Rhinolophus ferrumequinum: one gene and its partner. The protein of the gene in region 2 interacts with the protein of the main gene of each other region in a pairwise test. Links are inferred from orthologs where the notes say so. Each region holds a gene or a part of one and is shown on either strand. Other genes may lie near its edges.

Evidence for each region.
Region 1: the proteins of CLEC7A (region 2) and BNIP3 interact in binary tests that used the Homo sapiens proteins (3 or more experiments, as listed by UniProt). The two-hybrid records come from large-scale screens. The link is inferred for Rhinolophus ferrumequinum from reciprocal best matches to the Homo sapiens genes CLEC7A and BNIP3.

What each region holds. Positions count from the first base shown.
Region 1 is NC_046299.1:993,009-1,004,959, forward strand, and holds the start of BNIP3 (BCL2/adenovirus E1B 19 kDa protein-interacting protein 3), read left to right. Parts: upstream 1-4,535; 5' UTR 4,536-4,692; coding exon 4,693-4,738; intron 4,739-11,951. UniProt on the Homo sapiens protein: Apoptosis-inducing protein that can overcome BCL2 suppression. May play a role in repartitioning calcium between the two major intracellular calcium stores in association with BCL2.
Region 2 is NC_046293.1:25,857,594-25,868,947, reverse strand, and holds the start of CLEC7A (C-type lectin domain family 7 member A), read left to right. Parts: upstream 1-5,980; 5' UTR 5,981-6,074; coding exon 6,075-6,177; intron 6,178-7,752; coding exon 7,753-7,848; intron 7,849-9,131; coding exon 9,132-9,269; intron 9,270-10,364; coding exon 10,365-10,516; intron 10,517-11,354.

The DNA of each region.
Region 1 (11,951 bases), on a different chromosome or scaffold from region 2:
CCACGACTCACTTTTAGTTAGGAATTTTTACATTCAGACCATACTGTGTGGTTCTTTTCAGTGTCTGATTTGTAGGGTTCACCATGCAGGGTTCCTCTGAGCTCGTCTGGCTTAGTATATATGGTCCCTTTTTCGTCCACACTATCATTAAATTAATAATGTCTTTTCATATCTTCCTGCAAAACTTAAAAATTTTCTTTGTCTGTATCTTGAACATTTCTTAAGTTCTTAGATATTCTTAGATATGTTTTGTTGTCACTCTTATGAGATGTTTTCCATTTTCAAATTGGTCACTGCTAGCCTTTAAAAAAGCTATTGATTTGTGTATGCTTACCTTATGACACACATTATTAAATTTTTATTTGTTCAAAGACTTTCTCCATTGATTGTCCTGAATCTTCAGAGAAACAATTTTATTATTCTGTGTTAATCCACTGCTTTAATTAACAGATACTAACTGAACCCCTGCTGCCTGCCGGGCCTGCCCTCAGGGAACCTACCTGGGGGGATGAGGTGGGTCAGTAGTAGCAGTCTCGCCTCCTCCTTTTTGGTGTTGTGAAATTTTCCTTCCTCCTTCCTGTCTTCTGGCACGGCCTCAGACCTCAGAGCTCGGGCTGCTGACAAGCCCCTGGCCTGCTGCTGACTTCACGGGGATGCCACGGTGTCACCCATCGTGGGCTTCAGGTGCGCTACTTTTACCAGGGCGGTGTCTCTGTTGTGAGTGTAATAGAAGCCAGCTTGGAGTGCCGGGAGAGGAGAAGGGATTTCCTGATGGGTTCTGGAGGGCTCACAGAGTTGCTGTTTTGAAGGCCCAAGTCCTAGCCTTGAAACATGGGCAGGAATGAGGGCAGCTACACAGTGGTACGCCTGGTCCCAAGGATGGATGGCTGGCACTCTGGGCGCTGGGGCCCGGCACCTCCTGCTGGGTGCTGGGTGCTGGGTGCTGGAGGCTGCTCTGGTATTTCCGTTTCTCTAGACCAAAAGGCAGGACGTCACGCAGCGTGCAGGGCTTCAGGTGAGGGCAAGGAGGAAGGAGCCCACGTCCCCCCACTGCCCTCTCCCCCGCCCAACTTACTAAGTTTGTTTCTAGCGTGTGTTCATGTCAGAAATGCACATGAAATTATTTTTGCTTCTAAAATGATTATTTTTAGTCTTTGATCTGTCAGGTATTTTTTAAGATCCTCAAGCTACTTTTTCTTCTTTAATCTTTTGTTAAATATGTGGTCAAACCATCCCTACCGTCCCAGGAGAGAACTTACATGGTTGTAATGGATTCGTCTTCTGTTTGCTGTCAGTTCAGTCAGTACTTTTCCATGCATATTCCTAGGTGACTATAGCTCAATATTTTGTTTCCTACTATGAAAGCATGATGCGAAGTTAGAATCAGGGTTGTACCGACCCCATAGAATGAACTGGTAAAATCTCACTATTGACTACAGCCTGAAAGCACACGGAAATGCTCCCCGATCTAAAGGTTGGGCAGAAACTTGTAAAACTGCCTGAGCTCTGTCTCTGGGGAAATCAGACCGTCAGCCACGTGCCAATCACTTCCACTGCTTCAGAGGCTCTCCTTTCCTGAATCAACTTTATATTTTCCTGAAAAATAATTTTATTCAGGTTTCTTTTTTTAACTATAAAAGTGTATATGATTTTATATCATATTTTAAAATTTCCTCTGAATTTATAATCAGATCCTCATGTAGTGCTCAAAATGTCATTTATCACCAAAGATTTGAAATTAATGAAGGCAAATATGTTTTCTAACTCATTAATTTTGCTTTAATTTTTATTAATTTTATAATAATGTTACAAATGTATTAATTTCTTTTATTTAGGGTTTTTTCCTAGCTTTTTAAACTACCTAGTTCATTTCTTTTATACCTTGTCCTAAAATGCATTTAATACTATACATTTTCATACGAGTGGCATTTAATATATTGTTTTTAATAAATTTTATTTTTATGACTAATTTAGAACGACAGAAAAATGATGAATCCAATAGTAGAGTGAGTTCCCACACACCCTACACCTAATTTGCCGTTATTAACATCTTACGTGAGTAAGACTTATGCTAATCAGATTTCCTCAGTTTTTCCCTACTGTCCTCATGTCCCAGGATCTCAGTTTTGAGACTCCTGTCTCCTTGGGCCACTGTTGGCCATCGCCGTTTTTCAGGGTAGGCCAACTGGAGCAGATCTTCAAGCCACGCGTTTTCTTTCCCATTTCCCACTTGCATTTTCCTTGATCCCCAACTCTGACTGGGGGCTCCTCAGGCTTCCCCTGGGCAGCCTGACCCACCCTGTCTGCTATAACCTTCCCCGGGGCACTAAGCAGCTTTACAGTGACGCTGTTGGAAGTTAGGCCTCAGGGCTCCCTGGGTGGGGACATGAAATGATGGAAGTTGCTGGGACCTGTTAACGTAAGAATGTCCAAACCTGTAGATTACTTCTTATAAAAATGTATTTGGGCCAAACAGAGGATACACCTGGAAGCAAGATCTCAGCAGACTGAGATAAATGTTTGGAGAATAAGTTTGCAGTTTCTTTTATGCATATGAGATTAGGAAGGAACTAAGGAAGATTTCAAGGAGGTGGGAAGGAGCAAGGCGGGGATTGGATTACAGGACAGTTAAGATTACAGTGCTCTCTTGAGGGTGGTTCTGCTTCTTTCAAAGGCTGTTAACCTGGATGCACAGAAACAATGGACAGGGCTGCTTACAGCAAAGAGAAACCTTTTGCTAAAGAAGTTACAGACCTGGGGTGGGACTACTCACCGCGACCTGCCCTGCCCGTTAGGAATTTGTGATCAGATCACTCTGAGGTTACTTTCCGTGGAGCTTCTTCCCCCCCCCCCCCACAGACTGGTAGAGTGTTCTAGATGGGGAGGGAAAATCAGGTTGCAAAAAGAAACATTTCCATTTAAACATTTCTGGGTCATCGGCCTAGAGAGACTTAGAGGGCTTATGAAATGTACACGTTCCGGTGAGCTTAGCAGGTTGAGGGGTGAGGAGACATACAAAAGTCCGTGATCATTGTACATATTAGCAATAAAAAAATCAAACGAAATTTCACAATATGGTAACATTAGAAATAGGCCTATTTAGGGAATGTCTGTCAAGTGCGCAGACGCTGTACACTGAAGAGCACAGAACCTGCCGAGAAGTGAGAACACCTGAACAGCGGACAAGCAGCCTGCGCTCAGGGGTTGGGAGACGGGACAGCTTCCCCAGTGATGCTTCCCCAGGCAGTCGTCCCAGTAAAGGGCCCAGAGAGAAGAGGCAGGCGTGGGCACATTCTATGAGGGGACGTGCCATTTGTGTCCGTGTGGGGCAGCTGTGTCCCGTGCGTCCGCTGCTGCACCCATCCTGAACACTGCAGTGACAGGGGCGCTTGGAAAAGACTTGCTGAATAAAGGAGAACTAACGTTTGAATGGAAAGAAAGGCCAGAACCTCTACATCCAGAAAGAAGGCTAAGCTTAGTGCCCCTCTCAAGGGCATCCTTACCTAGAATGGAAACAAAGACACCCCCCCCCAGGTGAGGACAGCAGGGGCTGCTGCCCCAGAGCGTGCTTGGCACCCGTCCCCGTCACTGGGTTTGGCAGAGACCCAAAGGCAGGCAGGGGAGTGGGAGACTTCACAGTGGAAAGGGAGGCTCCAGGTGTGTCCCCATGGAGGCTGGGACCGGAAAGCCTGGAGCAGGGGACACCGAGATTGGTCAGGGCGGCGTCTGGCTTTCTGTGGTGGGTCCTGAGCTGGCAGCGGGGACAGAAATTGGGGAAGCTGTCAGTTATGGATCAAGTCCGGCCGTTTGGGGCTGACTGTTACAGGGCTGCTGTGTGGCTTCCAGTTGCTAGAGACACTGGTCTCACTTCCTGCCAAGAGAGGAGGCTGGGCTCCTGGTTGGTCACTGCAGGTGAGGGGCTGCTGCCTGGCTGGTGGCCGCGGGTGTGTCTCAGTTCTGTCTTCACAGATGGCTTAGCCCCGGTGTGTTTCCACGCAGTCCACTAGCGAGCCCTGCGGTCCTCGGCTGTCCGGTTTTCGCATTGCCCGGTGTCGAGTTTACTGCCTTTACTGTGTTGGAGGGAGAACAGCAAACTCAGCAGCGTTAAAGACAGCCCGGGGGCCTCAGCGTCCAACCCGGCCCGCGCAGCCGCACGCCCGTGCTCACCTGCACCTCGCCCGCGTCCACCGGTGGGACGCGCGTCCGCCGCGAGCTCCGTCCGCAAGGCGCCCAGGCCTGGCGGGACCAACAGGTACTGAGCCCCTCCCACGGTGCCCCGCCTCTCCAGCAGTTTAGCCCCGCCCACCCGGACCCCGCCCCGCCCACCCCGGGCCCCCGCCCCGCCTGCGTACGCACGCCCCGCCCCTCAGACCCCGCGCACGAGCGCTCGGATCGCCAGGCGACGCCTCTGCTCCACCCCGCGCACGCGCCGCACGCGCCGCACGCGCCCCGCGCGCCCCACGCCCTGCGTACGCGCAGGCCCCTCCTCGCGGCCAATCGGCGACGCCGCCGCTTTTCCGCTGTTTATCTGCGGTGCGTCTGCCGGCGCGCGTCAGTCAGTCGGGGTCCTGGGCTGACGCCGCTGTAATTGTTGGGCCCGCGCTCGTGCTCCAGCTGCCGCCGGTCTTCTTTGCAGCGCCCGGCGCCCACCCGATCCCGGCCCGGCGGCCGCTGCGCCCTCCTTCCGGCGCCATGTCGCAGAGCGGGACACCCGGACTACAGGAGGAGAGCCTGCAGGGTGAGCCTCGCGGGATCGGGGCGGGGAGTGCTGAGGGGAGGCCGTGGGGACGCGGGGACGCGAGTGAGGCGGGCGGGACCTGTCGGGGCCCCTTCACGGCGAGGCCAGGCCGCCGGGACGGTCGCCGGCGCGAGGCTGCGCCCACCTCGCGGGTCGTCCCTGCGCACGGCGGGCAGGTGGCGGCTGGCTGCCCGTGGGGCCAGGCGGCCGGCGGGGCCCCCGGGACGTGGGGGCCGTGCGGGGCCGTGTCCGGGGCGCACGGCTGCCGCGCCCGCGGACAGTGGATCCTGGGGAGGGGCCGAGCTGGGGGGTTGGCGCGGACGCCGGCCGAGGCCGGCGAGGAGCCTGAACTGTCCGGCTCGGGGCAACTGGAAGCGCCGTCTGCGAGTCGCGTCTCGGGTCCGAATGGCTTCTTCAGGGCCACGTTTCCACGTTCTGTGGTGAGACCAGTGGGTTTCAGGAGCAGAAGCCGGGTGTGACGTGGGCTTGCACGGGCGTTAGTAGTAGAGCGTGGAGCGTCCTGGCCGCCGGGACCGGTCGGAGGAAGGAGGGCAGGGGGTTGCCCGTGATGCAGACGGGCCCGCGGCCCCCGGCCGCGCTTCTCCGCGGAACAGATGGACGGTGCTCGGAGCAACTGCCGTGGGCTGCGGGCAGGCCGCTCTTTACGTTCGCCTGGGCTAGAGGGTCGTCCCCAGACAACAGGGATGTGCGGGCGGGAGAGTGGAAGCTGGAGGACCTGGGGCACCCGGCGCTGCCGCTCGTGCGCGGGGCCTTGGCGATTCCAGACCCGCGGGCGCGGAGGGTTGCTGTGCTGCTTCGTGGGTCGGTGGCAGCCGTGCGGTCCGCCCTCTGGCCTCGCGTCGGCCGCGCGGCCGCTCGGGGGGGCCCGGGAGCGGGGGAGGAGGAGCCCGCGCGTCACCTTTGCGTTCTCGGGGGCAAGAGTTGACTCGGCAGGAGGAGCGTGAGTAAGCGTCGGAGAGGACTGTTCAGACCTGAGCGTGAGCTTAAACCCTAACGTTGTTCAGATAAGTTCAGTGAGCTGCTAGGTTTTTTCTTAGTCCTTAAAGCAGCATTGTATTTTTATTAGGCGAGGCTGAATTAGCCTAATGCGTTGTGTGTCGTGTATTTTAAAAGTACAACCACTTTTTTTTTATTAGTTTCAGGTGTACAAAACAATGTACTAATTAGACATTTACATCCTTCATAAAGTGGTAACCCCCCCGTCTACTACCCCCAGTCCACTACCTCTCTGACATGGTGTGTGACTGTTACAATCCCATTGACTGCCTTCCCCATGCTGTAGTTTATGTACGTGTGCACACTTACATATATTTAATCATTGTTGACATTTTATATTATTTTACTTCGGCTGCAGATGTATATAGCGCAGCGGTCAGGCATCCACACAGTCCATGAAGTGATCCCCCTGATAAGTCCAGTGCCCATCGGGTACCTTCCATCATCTTTACAGCTCTGCCGGTTATATTCCCCAAACTGTACTTCGTGTCCCCGTGACTGTTTTGTGACTACCGGTTTGTTCTTTCTAATCCCCTCACCTGCTCCCTCATCCCCACCCCCCTCCCATCTAGCAACCACCACTTTTTTCTTTATATCTCTGAGTCTGTTTCTGTTTTGTTTGTTTATTCTGTTGTTTAGATTCCACATATAAGTGAGATCACATGGTATTTGTCTTTCTCAGTCTGACTTATTTCACTTAGCATAATGTTCTTTAGGTCCATCCATATTGCAAATGATAAGATTTCATTCTTTTTCATAGCCAAGTACAACCACATTTTTAAAATCCTGTAATCTCCTTAAATTTTGAAATTGACTGTTTTCTTTGAACTGGATTAAGGAATTAATCTTTTCTGTCTTTTTTCACGCAGGATCCAGGGGGTATTTCATAAACTCTTGGCCTTAGAATCATTCTTTTCCTAATTACCAAACTACTTAACTTCTGCCGCTGTGTTTCACTGGCTCAGATTTAGCCTCTGGAAGAGTTCTGAGCCCTCCAGAGGGGCTTCCTGACTGACACCAAACAGCTGAGTCACTGGCAATGCAAAATCACCAGCTCGTGAATTAAAAGATTTGCTTTGTGTTTTGCTTATTCTATAAAAAGATGGTTACACAGGGAGTGGAAACTCATGGTAAGGATTCCCGAGTGTACTAGTGTGTACGTGCTGTAGGGCACTCCACTTGCTCACCGTCCAGCTCCGGCTGGGAGGAGTCAGTCACTGGGCAGCTGCCCCACGAAATGTGAGCCGCATGGATTCTGGATTCGCTGGAGCAGGCGTGTCCTCCGTGTGCTGTTTTGATTTGGTTCCCTCTTGTTTACCTCACATGACAACTGAGAGCTTTGGTTGCCAAACTCCGACAGCAGCAAACGGTTTCCCCTTTGCTTGTATCTGGCACCAGGATGTTCTCCCCAAGGAGTGAACAGCAAAATGGATGTGTGTTCCCCCCTTTCCCTGGTCCATTCTAGTTAGAGCTGTTGACTTGCAAGGTGTTCTGTGCCTTTTTCTTCTTAGATGCACAACTGCTGACATGCATGTTGTTGTGTCACAGTGTCACGGGAGTGGTGCGTGGCTTACTTCCCAGAAGGCCCCCTTCTGAGCAGAGCTGCTCATGGGTGCAGGCGTCAGTTCAGTCAGTGCTCAGCCCTTTGCTCTGAGACGCCCCCACCCCTGTTACTGCTGTGTATGGGGACAGTGCTCGTCTTGGCAACTCACCACGTGGCAGCTCCCCACGGACAAAGGTGTATGAAGAGGAAAATAATTCATCTTTCCTGTGGAGGGGAATGTGGAGCTTGCAGTTTGGGAGTATAAAGGGGTTTCAGGCATTAAATCGTAGCCCAACCCCTGCATTTCATAGAGGGTTGCAGTGAGGCCAGAGGGTAAGTGATAACAGGTAAGGCAGAGTCAGGGGCTCCACGCTGAGTGCCAGGGGGACACCAGGAGCCTAAGTGACAGAGTGCATTAAACAGGACCCTGCCTGGCAAAGGAGAGCCACGCAGCTCCTGGTAGGAACCAGGAGCCAGAATGGTCTGTTCCAAATCACTTGGGAATGAGGTGTCTTGTCTGACGCTTTTACATTCCCCCTCCCTCCCCTCCCCTCCCCCCCACAGGGAAGAAGCCCTGCGATTGGCTGGTGCTCCCCCTGGGCTTGGCGACCGCTGGCCTCAGGCCTTCCGAGGATGCCCTGCCTTCTGGGACCTCCCTCCTCCCTGACACTGCTCCCAGTCTTACAGCTGCTTTGTTCCCGCGTCCTTCCCCTGGCCAGTTGGCTTCAACCCTGGCCCCCGCAACATTGCCATTGTAGACTTTTCAGAATATATTTCTGGAGTCCGTCCCAGCACTCCACATAAGGATATTCAGAGCGGTGGGCCAGGCTCCTGAGGAACAGAGTAAAAGCACCTCAGGTGAGTCTCCTTAGTCACGGTTGGGACCTGCTACCTCACACTAGGGTGTGGGTGGCCTTTGGGGCTCTGTGGGGTGCACCTGGGTATGTCGAGGGCAGTGTGGCCAGGCCAGCCTGGAGTCTTGCAGAAGGCAGGGACTGTGGTGGCACTTGGGTACGCCCATCTACCTTGTCCCGAGGCTGGCATTGACTTGCTGTGTGTGAGCCGGGCACGTCACAGTGGGTGTGGGGGAGAGGCAGCGGGCCTGCCCTCAGCAGCACCATCCGTTTTCTTCTGAGGCCTCAGGATTCCAGTTACTGGGCAGGTGATCTGTGCTTCTGAAGCAGCCCTAATCCCATCTTTCTTGCTTAAAAAGATGAGTGACCTTAACCAATTGCAGGATGTGAGTGGGTTAACAGCACGCATTTTCTTTTCCACGAAGAATGTTTTCCCACTTGTTGCAGGTTAATAATAAAACGCTTGCCCTTTAGTAAATCATTCCTGGGAATACAGCTTTTGTGCCCAAAGCTTTGCTGCAGACAGTCCAGAGTGGGATTTTTCTTCTTTCTCAATGATGCTTAGGACTTTCTATGAGATGATTCTAAAAAGCATGTACGTACTTGTGTCCATGGAGTCCCGAGTTGGCCCCTGTGACATAATAAAACACGTGTGTACACCTGAAACCAGTATGTCCTGTGTCAACACTGTATCTCAGTTAAAACAATTAGTGTGTGCTGGCACCGCTCTAACACTCGTGGGATCACTCGAGTGGCAGTAGTGCCTTTGTTATTCATGGAACCCCTTCTGCAGGGAACCCTCAGGGAGGCTCTGGCGAGCCTGGAGCCTCGGATGGGGTTGGGGAAGAGCCCCTTGTGATTAGAGGGTGGGAACCCAGCACCCAGCCCTTGCAGGGAGGGGACGGCTGGAGGTTGGGTTTTGAAAACTTTGAACAGCTAGGTCGGAGCGAGCTGGGTTGGTGAACACAGGGTGGTGCCCAGGTCAGGGCGCAGGGAAGCTCTGCCCCCGTGCCCCAGACCAGTGCTCTGTGCGTCTCCATTTGGCTCTTCCTGAGTTGTGTCCTTTCTAATAAATGGGTAAACACGTAGTGTTTCCCTGAGTGCTGTGAGTTGTTCTCGTGAGTTGACTGGACCTGAGTGGGGTGTTGTAAGGACCCTTGAATTGTGGTCTGCCAGGCAGATGTGTGGCTGACGTCTGATGTGGAGACAGTGTTGGCACTAAGCCTTTCAACTTGGGGGACCTGACAGCAGCTCCAGGTAGTGGCACCACTGAACTGAATTGTGGGACAGCTCGTTGGTGTTGGAGAATTGGTTTTTGCCGTCGAAACCCCACATGTGTTGTCAGAAGTGGAATCAGAAAAGCAGCACCTGCCTCGGACTCCGCCTACGTCAGACACTGAGTAGCACTGAAGCTTGGCCGGGCACATTGAGCCAGGCCCAGAATCTGAATAACAGGTTGAATCTAGAAAAACGGAACTGGGCCCAGCGTGGGGCCCATGCTGTTCCATGCCAGGGGCCCGAGCTGCCTTGCCAGCTGGCTGAGTGTGACCTTGAGTCCAGGGAAGGAGAGGGGGCTAGAGTTTTAATGCCGACGCCTCAGGGTGCGGACGGGCAGAGGACTCGGAAGGTGGTCGGCAGCCTGATGGACGTGGTCAGTCAGGCGAGCGGGCTCCGGAGTGCTGGTGCGGAGAGGGCCGAGCTCGAGGCCTCTGCTGGGTCAGAGGCTGGCTTAGTGGCCTGGCTCAGTGACCTGGTTCCGAGACCACCTCCTTCCTTGTGTTCGTGACGCACTTGTGCGGACCAGCTTGACAGGAAGCGACCTGAGAGGCTAAAGAGAAAAGTCACGTGTTAATCTGACAATGTGTGTGGTCATTTTGTTAGCAGCTAACTGCTGTCCAGGCTGCAGGTTCTCATCTATTCCTGGGCCCGTGATGGCTGGCTTCTCACTGATGATGTATTTCTTCTGCAGCTTTTTGAGCATTAGGCCAGGACCGGCAGAGCTGCCGGATGTGTCAGGGAGCAGCCGCCGGTGGTTCAGCCAGCGGGCGGTGATGGCCAACGGGCGCTGATGAACGGGCGCCTCCCACCCCCGTGTGGCGTCATTGGTGCCATGTTGGTTTAAGGACCGAGTGGCGGCTCTGGGTGACAATGACTGTAATAAGTGAGAGCGAGTGTAAGCCAGTTCATTGGGTTTCCGGGCTTCTGCAGTCTGCCTCCCCGCTCCCTCCGGCACCTGTCCTTCATGTGCCACCAGGGTGATCTTGGAGCAGGAGGTACCCTGGAGAGACACAGGCTTCCGCATAAAGTAGAAAACTGTCCTGGGCCCAACGTAGGCCTGTGCGTGCTGCCAGCTCGGTTTCTGACCAAGCTGCATGGCCGAGGGAGAAGCAGAGGCAGTCTCGTCAGTGAGTGGAAAAGCCAGACCTGTTTCAGGTTCCACCTACACGTGAAATCCGGGCTCACTGAACCTGGGTCGTCATGAGTGAAAACAGTACAGCTTTTTGGAAATAATACAGTAGAGTATCCTCATGGCCTCAGGCTAGGAAGAGACTGAAAATGTGACTGGATTAGAATCAGGAGTTTGTGCTCATCAGGAGACATTCAGGGTGAAAAGAGAAGCCATCGTGAAAGAGACCTGCAACACTCACGTGAAGAAAGGCTCGCGTCTGGAATATGGAGCTTCTGCAGACGGAAGGAAAGAGGAAGAGGTTTTTGCTATGCACATGGCCAGTAAGCGTGAAAAATGTTCGGCCTCAGTAGAAATCAGAGAAATGCACCGCAGACCACACAGCACGGAATGGATGGCTGAGTTTGAGGACTGACGGTCCCGTGTGGGAAGCTCCTTCGGGGCTGGTGGTGGTCCTGCTGCTTGTTACCCCCCAGGTGGGGCTGCAGAGGCGAGAGCACATGGGCGGATGGATGGACGGACGGACGGCTGGACGGAGAGAGAGGGAGGTGCTGTTCACAGCCGCTCGCCTGGAAGCCAGCTGCACGTCCAGCTGGGCAGACAGCGGCGTGGCCGCACCGTGGGCTCCTGGACGCAGCAGCAGAGCACGCCTGCCCACGGCCCAGTGCGCGCTAGCTGGCCCCTCGGTGCAACCCCAGGAGCCCTCACTGCTTTTGCCCTCAGGCCTGCGGGTGTCTGGGCCGCAGGCATGCGGGGGGCCTTTCTGTGTCCGGGGCACTTCTGTCCTTGTGTGGGATGGGCCACAGTGATTTCCATCCCCCCAGACACTTGCTCAGGGGCAAGAGCAACAGCCCTGGCCACCCCGCACCGCCTGGCACGGCCCTGTGTCGGGCTGTCTGTCACTCAGGCTGCCACCTCCGCGGGCTTCCTCTGCAGGGCTCAGCCCAGCCGCTGCCCGGTGCACAGCCGCCAGCAGTGTGTGCCCAGCTGTTGAGTGGCGTGGGCGTGTCCAGTGAACTCCAGGTGCTGGGTCTTCAGGGACAGATCCCGGCTTGGAGCAATGGCTTTACGTGCGGGCTTCGCGGTCGGTGGGGATGGGGAATGCTTTGGCGCTACGTGGTGGTAAGTAGGTGACCTGGTGCTAAGAAGACAGTTCTCTAAATCTGTAACATGTACCTGGGTGAAATAAATTTGTTCAGAACATGTAACAGACGTCAAGTTTTCGTTCAAGTAAGAAAGAATGTGGAGCCGACTTCCTGTAGCTTTGGCTGAATGCACGCCGAGCGTGGCTTGATGTGCTGGATCGGGGTTCGTCAGAAATGGCCTTGGTGGTGTTCAGAGTGTATTCATCTGGCTGCTGATGTCAGTAAATCCAGAGCAGCTGTCATGCCG
Region 2 (11,354 bases):
TATGGTTTTTCTCTTTAGTGCTAACAGGGTGGACAATAATGAATATACATAAGGCCTATTCTCGTGGTTCTTATACTCTAGTGTGGAGAAAGAAAATAAACAAATTAAAAACAGCTACATATATGCTATTTTATTCATTCATTTAAAATGGGCAAGCACTACTCTTGATGCTGGGAATTAGTAGTGAACAAAACAAAGTTCCCTGCCCTCTGGAATTTATGCTAAGGTGGCAGAAATTAAAAATTAAATAAACATATGTGCTAATTATTGAAGGAATCCAATGGCTGCTCATAATAGAAGGTAACTCCTAACAACCACAATTCCTTAGGAATGAAGAAATAGAGATGCCTTTAAGTAGAGCAAAAATCACATTGTTATTGTAATTCAGGTCCAGGCTGCAGAAACTCTTTAATTTTTTTACTCTCTTGTGAGTATAGGTTAACTTCTTCTAACTTGCCTTGAAATTTCTAATACAAAGCAGCAGATGGCACTATCACCTCATTCACTCTCGCCTGATTTTGCTAAATCTTTTTTTCTTTCTTTCGTTTTTAATTAATTAATTATTATTATTTTGTTTAAAGTAGAGTTGATATACAATCTTATATTGGTTATGTTAACTTCAGGTGTACAATATAGTGATTTGACACTTTTATACCTTACAAAGTGATCACCCCACTAATTCTCATAATCATCTGTTACTGTGTGAGACTTATCCCAATATTATTGACTATATTCCTCTTCCCCTTTACACCCGTCCTCCTACTTTCTTCCTTTGGTCTCTGTTTCTATGAGTTCTGTTTTTGTTTTGTTTGTTTCTTTAGATTTGTTTTTATATTCCACATATAAGTGAAACCATACAGTGTTTGTCTTTTTCTGCCTGACTTCTTTCACTCAGCATAATACCCTCTAGATATATACATGTTTTTGCAAATGGCAAGATTTCCTTCTTTTTTATTGATGTGTAATATTCTCTTGTGTATATATACCACATCTCCTTTATCCATTCATCTATCCATGGACACCTAGGTTGCTTCCATATCTTGGCTATTGTAAATAATGCCGCAATGAATATAGGTGTGTACAGACCTTTGCAAATTAGTGTTTTTGTGTTCTTTGGATAAATACCCAGAAGTGGAACTGCTGGGTCAGATGGTATAACTATTTTTAGCTTTTTTGAGGAACCTCCATACTGTTTTTCATAGAGGCTGTACCAGTTCGCAGGCCCACCAACAGTGCACAAGGGTTCCCTTTTCTCCACAGCCTTGCCAACACATTTGCTTTTTGACTTTTTGATAATAGCCATTCTGACTAGTGTGAGGTGGTATCTTGTTGTGGTTTTCATTTGCATTTTTCTGATGATTAGTGATGTTGAGCACCTTTTCATGTCTGTTGGCTATCTGTATGTCTTCTTTGGAGGAGGTAGCATGGTCCCTGATCTCAGACTATACTACAACACTATAATAATAAAAACAGTACTGGACTGGCACAAAAACGGACACATAGATCAATGGAATAGAAAGAGAGCCCAGAAATAAACCCTTGCTTATATGGTCACTAATCTATGACAGAAGAGGTAAAAATATACACTGGAGTAACAACAATCTCTTCAACAAGTCGTGTTGGGAAACTGGATAGATACAAGAACATGCAAAAAAATGAAAGTGGACCACTGTCTTATACCATATACAAAAATAAACTCAAAATGGGTCTAAAGACTTAAATGTAAGGCCTGAAGCCATAAAACTTCTAAAAAAAAACACACACACAGGAAATAAGCATCATTCTGAGTAATACTTTTTTGGATATGTCCCCTTGAGCAAGGTAAACAAATGCAAAAGCAAACAAATGAGACCAAGTCAAATTAAAAAGCTTCTGTGCAGTGAAAGACACCTCAACAAAACCAAACGGCAGCCCATTGGATGTGGGACTATATTCACAAATGATATATCCAATAAGGGGATTATATCCAAAATATATAAGAAACACATACAACTCAATAACAAAAAAAATAAACAATCCAATCAAAAAATGGGCAGAGGACATAAATCTTTTTGATTAATTCATACTGACTTAGTTCAGATCACACACCACCAGGAATCTAATATTTTCGTTTCCTGTACCCCTCCTATTCACCATCCAAGGATCCCAACAGAGATTTAAGACCCGTCATCATTTCACTGGTGAGGAAACAAGAAGAGAAAAATTAAACAACACAGCTAAAGTCACTCAGTCAATCAGTGATAGAATAAGGAGCAACAGGACAACATGATACATTTATTAGATATAACATGGACTTTGAATTTAGAAGTTCTGACAATAACTTGAAGATATTACCCCCCATGCAATCCAATTTCCTTATCTTGAGTTGTTTCCCATCTTAAAAAAAAATTAAAAGGAATGAATGAATGAATGAAATATACCAGGTGAATATCTTCCAAATATTTGATGGGTTCAATTTTTTTTTTTAAATGAAATTATGTATGAAATTCCCGCATATAAAACAAGCAAAATCAGAGATTCTCTGGTTGTATCAATACTGGGGCAATCTAAAGACTTTCTTGTTTGGTCTGTCGTGCTTCACCTTTGGCTATAATTTTTCTTCCTATAAAAGAAAATGCTGAGTTTAAGTTTAATGCACAAAAAAATAAATAAATAAAACATAGTCAACATATTCAACCAAAATATGGATGGCCCATGTAATAAAAAGCAAATGCAAAAGAGAAAGAAGAGTCACTGTGGTGGAAGAAAGAGAGACAATGGCACATATAACTTAAAACAAATATACAAACAAAAAAACAGCTCCCACTTAAAAATAATAACCACCATTCTTCATTTTCCCCTGTTCTTCTAAGGCAATTTAAAGATAAGTTGGTTGTGATTTGGGACTAGAACTTGGAATTACCTAGAGTTTATTTCTTAGTTCACAAGAAGCATAATTGTTTGTTTTCTTGTCTATTTCCCCCAGTAGATAGGACTATTGAGACACTGCCCAACACATTGGATACAGAATACCAACGGAAATAGAATGCTTGTCCTTTTGGAGTTCAAAAACCAAATCAGACAATAGAACTGGGTTATTTTATGTTATAATATATGAAGGTAGTTATACATGTATTGTACATATGGTATTACTTTTTAAGTACTTTCATTTATTTTTACACATTCATTTATATATCAACCCAACATATATTTATTGATAACCTACAATGAATCAGAAGTTAGTTTAGGTACATGGGATATATCAGTGACCAAGACAAGCGATATTCTTAACTCATGGAGCTTACAAACATGTGGATGGGAGACTAATCATAAACAGTTGAGATATACAAGTTCTGACAATTATGTTCGCAAACTCACCCTAGAAAAAGTTCTACATACCTCATTGCTGAATATCACTACGGTCACCTGCAAAATATTCCCCTTGGGAAACTATGCACCAATACCAGCGCCTAATCCACGCTTCAAAGCAATTTTGGAACTCTTTTTATGGAATGGCCATCAGAGCTGTCATCGTATTATCCTTGATGTCCTGAATGTCATCAAAATGTCTTCCTTTCAATATTTCTTTTACCTTCAGGTAAAGAAAGAAGTCATTGGGGGCCAGATCAGGTGAGTAGGGAGAGCGCTCCAATACAGTTATTTGTTTACTGGCTAAAAACTCCCTCACAGACAGTGCCGTGTGAGCTGGTGCATAGCTGTGATGCAAGAGCCATGAATTGTTGTCATTTTCATCTTTTTCACGCAGCTTTTTCAGCACTTCCAAATAGTAAACTTGGTTAACTGTTTGTCCAGTTGGTACAGATTAATAATGAATAATCCTTCTGATATCAAAAAGGTTAGCAACATCGTTTTGACTCTTGATTTGGACTGACGGAATTTTTGTGGTTGTGGAGAATTGGCTGACTTCCACTGCGCATTTTGACACTTTGCTTCAGGGTCATATTGATACACTAATATTTCATCACCAGTTATAACACAGCCCAACACATTGTCTTGCCTTTCCTAAAGGTCTTGGCAAACTTCGACTCTCCTTTGTTTTTGTTCATTGGTGAGCATCCTTCAGGATCATTTTGCACACGCATATCTCATGCCAAGATTTTCAGTTAAGATTTTTCTAGCTGTTTCTCTATCAATGTTTACTTGGTCTGCTGTGCTTTTCACAGTCTGCCGATGATTTTGATGCACAATTCAATGAATATTTGCAATGTTTTCATCAATTCTGCTCATTACTGTCCACCCTGGCCTCTCTTCATCAGTGACACGTTCTCTCCCCTCAGAAAAACATTTAATCCATTTGCACACTGCTTTTCTTCATGGCACTATCCCCATAAACTCAGACTAATATGTCCCTGATTTCACTTCCTTTCTTGCCAAGTTTAACAAGAAATTTAATGTTTGTCCGTTGCTCTAATTCAAGCGCAGACATTCTCATGATGGCACACAAAAACATGCAACAACAATAATGAAGGCGACTCAGCAAGACACCGCCACATGTCGGCACAAACACAGCTGTGAGACACTGATATAAGAAGGTTATGAAAATTTCTTCAAGGACCTGAGAGCCATCTCTTTGAATGCAAACAATCAGGGAGTTAGGGACATACCTCTTGCTCTCCCAGTTCCTGTGGGAGGATAAGAGGGTGTAACGTCAGTGGGAGCACCACCCAGTTTCAACACCACTGCCTCCTGTCATGAGGATAGTTTTTTTCTCTTCTGGATATGCATCAGTTAACAAATCCAGATGACGTCACATGAATTAATTCTCACCACCCCCCTTAAGGAGATTCAGTGCCTTTTCCTGAGCTCACCCAAGCCTTTAAAAAGTCTTCAGTCCTTTTTTTTTGGAGAAGTTGAGTTTAGTTCATGCTTGGTCCTCTTCTCTGTTGTAATAGCACTACTGAGGGACATCTGTCCTCATTGCTTCAATGTCAGATATCTCCTTCATTCTGTTCACTTTAGTCTTGTAAATGGGTCGGATACATCACTAGTTTCCAGCAAGGATAACTGTTTTCCATATCTCCTTAATTGGGGCATTACAATAGCAATTGGATGAGAGAGAGAGAAAAATCAAACATTTAACATAATATTTCAGTCCCAGAATTCTTCATAAGCAGTTACTAGCAATATAGGCGGACAGAATGGTGAAAGAGGCAGTTTCTGAAAAAAAAAAAGATCATGAATTGTGCAGAAACAGTAGATTTTGGTTTGATTCCTTCCTTCAATGTTTTTATTAGCTTCTTAAAAGTGAGCAAGGGACTAAAATTTCTGTGTCTTATCTTCGTCATTTAAAAGAAGGACAAATAATACCTACCACAAGGACTTGTTGGAAAATTAAGATTGAATGAAAAAAACATGTGCACAGGGTAGTACCTACCTCATGGTAATTGTTTAATAAATAATTACTACTTTTTATTATTAATCTCTAACAAATCCCAGAAAAGCTTTGTTTCCTCTCTGTGTCGTTACAGCAATGTCCCTCTTTATGGCATCCTTCATATATCCATCTGTGGATTTACTCTATGAAACAATGAGCTCCTTCACAGGTATCATTTTTTCTTGTATCCCCAGCTCCTGCCAATTGAAAAGACGGGCATTTGACAAATGTTTAGTGAATGACTGAATACATGAATAAATGAAGGAATGTGTAGTTATAGTGAAGTAATGGTAAACTTAAGGTACCAAAATTTTTTTTACATTTGTATAGGCCAAGTCAATTAATGATGTCAAATTCAGTTGTAAAAATAATGAAAACAGCATAAGATGTCAATCTTTTCATATTTCTTTTATTTGGTCTGAAACAAAGCCCAACCTGTTATGAGACCTTATAATTTCCTTAAGAGTCATCAGTCTCAGAAACAGGATCTAAAGGTACAAATGGGAACTTAACACAGCATCGTCTCCATTTCCTGCTTTTGGATAACTGGTAGGACTACTTAAGCTCAAGTTGTTAAAGCTCAGTAAAGGCCTATCCCACGTGATTTGACTCATAGATCCTCTTTTGTTCACAAGGAGTTGTCTTGGAAGAGAGGAAAGAGCTCTCAAATGCTCTGTCAATTCAGGAACGCAATAGAACAATGGAATATCACCCTGACTTAGAAAATTTGGATGAAGATGGATATACTAAATTAGACTTCAGCTCTCGAAATGTCCCCAGGAGACCTGTGTTCTCAGAGAAAGGTATTTTTTCTTTATGCCTTCAACATTTTCATTCTCATCAACTAAAAACTTAAGTGGAGAAAACTTGAGAGGCTTGTGATTTGTGGGGATTTTATTACTACATTTTAAAAGTTTTTCAGAAGTCACTGAAGATAATTTGAATGTGCACTAAGACATTTTTCATGGCAACCATTCAGTGGCTAATTAATAGTGTTTAAATTAATTATGATGATGACAGAAAATACAATGTGTCTGTTCCATAGAAATAGAAACTTCTGTAGTGAGGAGTTGGTAATACGTATGACGAATTGCAAAGATGAAAGAATTTCAATAGGAGTGGCTTATTGCTTGTTTGATAGAAAGGTCTAAATTGTAGAATGGAAGTTCAGGAAACTTAAAGAAGTATATTAACAATATCAGGATACTGGAGATGAGAAAGAGAAGAATGAAAAGAAGAAAGATAGGTGAGGGAAAAAAACAAACTTGTGATTTTGTGGTAAAGGCCAAAGGGAAGTCAGAAGTCATAGGATTTATAATCCCAAATTTGATATGTGTACTGTGGTAAGAGCTTGATTTGGATTTTTTTAAACAAAAAGCAATTCTTCATATACCAGTGAATAAAAATATATGTTATAGATGAAAAGAATTTATTAGCAGGACATGAGTCTTAAACAAAACGTAAAAATGATATATGGAGAATAGTGTTAAAAGATTTCTCTCCTCATAAAATGAGCCATTTAGTCTCCTTTATGATTCTCCTATTTGACAACTCTGAAATGTTGTTACTGCTTATTCTCAGTCAAAGGCAAAACTATGTTCTTGGTGGTGATGTTAACATAAATTAGACCCCTGTTATCAAGAGAGATTATTCATAGGTTTTGACATCAGTTTGCTCTCTTCTGCTTTCTGGTAGTTCACATTGCACAATTATTTTTCTCTCACCACTTACGCAATACTTTTCTTGGGTAACCTTTTGGGGGAGAGTGGAAAAATTGGATAATGCAAAAGGTAGGGAGGCGTGCATGTGTTTATGCATAGGTGTGGACAAACCTGTAATGTGCTAGTCATCTCTGAACTGGGTGCTTTTACATGTGTTATCTCATTTAATTCCCACAATAATCCTTTGAAGTATTATTACCCCAATATTGTACAAAGAGAAATGGAAAAACAGAAGAAGTAATTTGCCCAAGATCATGCAACAAATAAGTAAAAAGGGAAGATTACCCTTAGTCATCAGTGTTATTTCCCCTGTATTTCTGCTGTATCTTCCAAGAATGAGTGGGATTTCATGAATCCTGGTGGTGTGAGTTGTAGAGCCATCAATGTGGAACTGAAATCAGGAGTGCATAGTTATCAACTCACTGAAATCAGGAGTGCATAGTTATCAACTCACTCAAATTACATTTCCAGAACCTGAAGACGAATGCTGAAGTTGGGGGAAAATTCAGACTAATTCTGGATAACTGGAGTATCTGGTTATCAGTGATTAATGGTTCACTTCAGAATTTGCCAGATTTTAATGAATTATAGAATTTAAGTACTCCACAATCCATTGTCTTATTTCTTCATTCAATTTCTGCTCTGTCTGGTCTTCAGGATATTGTGGGATATCTCACTGGCGTTCCATTGCTGTGATTTTGGGAATCCTATGCTTGATAATACTGGTGATAGCTGTGGTCCTGGGTGCCACGGGTGAGTATTGCTGGGGAAGATTAACAAGAAACATTTAATAAGCATTTATAATATAGTAGACAATTTTTTAAAAGCTTGGCATGCATAATCTAATTTAATCTGTATATTAACCCTATTGAATTGGTGTTATTAATTTCCAGTTTATTAATAAGGGAAGTGAGAGCCTGGGAATTTATTTTACTTTTCCAGGATCATAAACTAGTTAGTGGTAAGACCACAATTAGAAATTTAGGACATCTGTCTGAAAAATTCAGACTTTTAAGTACATTGCTCTATTACCATCCTTGAATGGCTGATTTCAAAGCTGTAGAATTCCCAGGATAAATTAATGGAAGAAAACTAGTAAAGGTTAAGATGGAAGTATATTTTGGTGCTAGCTTCCTAATAAAACAAATGCCCTAAAGAGACTATAAGCTATTTTTATGAATCTCATGATTTAAGGAAACTATTTTAAACCTCATCTTTAATCTAAACTCCTTTGGATTATACCAGTTACTTACCTGAGGCACTTACTAAATACTAAGTACATATTTTGTGATTAATGAATGACTTTCCTTAGATTTTATATCTCAAGCATTCTATTGTCAATAAAGTATTATTGTGCTCTCAGGGAGTCTTTATTAGATTCCTTAATTATTCAAATGTTTATTGGGTACAGTCTATGTTATAAGTACTGGACAGGTTTTCAAGGAGCTCTCATTTTTAAAACACAGAGAAAGGTAGAAAATTTACTATAATTTCAAATCTATCATGGCTCCAATTAACTCTATTCTATCTGTCACTTGCTTTCTCCTTAATACTTATTCTCCTTCTCAACCTGCTTCATTTTTCTCTTTTTTACTATACCGTCCATGTGGAAGTTATTTTTTTCTATCTATTTAATCTATCTATCATCTGTCTATCTATCTATCTATCTATCTATCTATCTATCTATCTATCTATCTATCTACCTACCATCTATATATATATATATATATATATCTGTCATGCGGGGTATCACGTGGGGTCTCAGCTCCCGCTCAGGTGCTACCTGAGCCAGCACCTTTCCACATGAGGCCGAGAGCCTGGAAACTGCACCCCTGGCTTTGTCCCCACACTGTCCATCTATCTATCATCTCTCTGTCTTTACCCCTCCATCAGCAGTGTATTACCTATTAATCATTAATCAAGAATGCATCTCTTTATATTACAACAAAAATATGGGTTTGGGGATTTTAATTTTCAAACATAGTAAAATGATTTTTTGTTGTTGTTGTCATTATTGTTGTTGGTGGCATGTGAAGGTATGTGGAGATCCAATTCAGGAAGCAACTCATTGAAGAATGACAATTTTCCGTCAAGGAATAAAGAGAACCACAGTCAATCCACACAATCATCTTTAGAACAGAGTGTGGCTCCTACCAAGGCTCTCAAAACCACAGGCAAGGGCAGAGTTAAATGATTAATGGAATTCTGGATTCAGAAGAGTTAATTATTGGTGTTCCAGCCTAGAGCGGGGGTGGGGGGTGGGTGAAGAGAGCACTTTTACATGATTGTGCATTCAAGGAAAGCACACATCAGTATTATCTCACTCTAATATGCCCCTGTCATATATACAATAAAGTGATATCATAGATACCCTCATGTACTTGGCCGGACAGTTCTAAGTTGTATTTTTTTTTTTTTTCAAATCAGTAACTATTCTTGGCTGTGTGTTTAGGCATACAGGAGATTGTATAACTTGAAATGTATTCTCTGCCCTTAAGTTACTGATATTTTAAGGTGATACAGTAAGAATAAGAAATAGCATATCAGAAAGGAAGAGAGGGAGAGAAAAAGGAAAGGACAAATGTTGATAAGGATTAAGAGGTTAAATTAAACACATGCAAAAGAAATAGACCTAATAGATGTCTTCCTAAAAACTCTGGTTAAATTTGTTTTCTTTAATCATATAATTTTATTTATTTCATTACAATTTTATATACACTTACCTTTATTTCTAATGGCATCATGATTGACTATGATGATATTTTGACTTCAGTTTTCCATCTCTGGACCCATACATCTTCATTATATGTATCAAATAATTAATACAAATCAGAGATACTCTATAATGTAAATAATTACTCTTATACTTTTTTCATTTGGAAAATTGCATTCTAAAATGGATCTTACACCTGTAAAATAAATTAACATGAAATTACTGTATACCTTAATGATTGATTTTGAGTTGATTTATTTTAAGACTTATCAAGAAAGGGAGTTCTGGGCTGAATTCAAGGGAATGGAAGACAAGTCAAGAAGGAAAGGAAGGTCGACTGTGTATAACACTTTTATAGTTACTCAATTTTAAATGAATGGGGATATTTTAATGTGGTTTCTTTTGTAAAATCATATCTCTATAGTTTTAATTGAAAATGAAATATATTAATGGCAATTTGTTGATTATTTATTGTATCCTATGGATGTATGGTGCTTGCACTGACAGAGTGAAGTGGTATAATATGAATCTCATCATATTTATCTTTTATTTCCAGGAGTTCTTTCCAGCTCTTGTCCCCCTAACTGGGTTATACATGAGAACAGCTGTTACCTATTTAGCACACCACTGGATACCTGGGAGGAAAGTAAAACACAATGCTCTCAACAAGGCTCTAGTCTACTGAAGATAGATAGCTCAAATGAATTGGTGAGTGCAGATTTCAGTTATGATTATCTGTGGTCTATATTGAGCAGAAAAATAGAGTTAGATTCCAGGTAATTATAATTTTCCCTAAAAGAAAGTCACTTTTAATATCTCCTTAATTATATTGTAATAATAGCATGCATTAAGCAGGCTAAAGTATATTTTATATGCTTTTCTTTTTAATTAATTAATTAATTAAAAATAAACACATTTCATTTTAAAACAAACCTTTTCAAACACACTGCAAATCTGTATGACTAATAATAATCAGGCCACTACTCATTTTTGTGGGTTTGGATTTCAATTCTTAAATTTGGTGGAGTAAAATAGAAAATTGTCCTACTTGTCATCATAATTATTAAGAAAAATAACAGCAATGCTAATACACATTTATAAATCATTTACTCCTTGCAGGATACTTGGAATGGTAAACAGATTTAAAAAGTAAACTTATTATTGCATTGCATATATAATTTGTAAGAAAAAATAAACACCTCAACAGCTGTTAAAAGTTAAATATTTGGTATTGCCAATAAATGTGATAGGAATTTAGAGAGAGAGAGAGAGAGAGAGAGAGAGAGAGGGAGAGAGAGAGAGATTGATCTGTGGACATAAAGTTTTACAGAAAAAGTGGGACTTACAATGCATTATGAATGAAGTATAGAACTCAGATGGGCTATGAGTAGAGGGTAATAATCAGGAAAGAGCAACACTGTAAATCTAAACAATCTATAACTTCTACATTTACTTCCACTACTCTCAATTTTTTTGTTTCTGTCCTGTCATACCCAACAGTTGTAGTTCAGATGAAAATTAATGGAAATAGATGTATGGCAAAGAA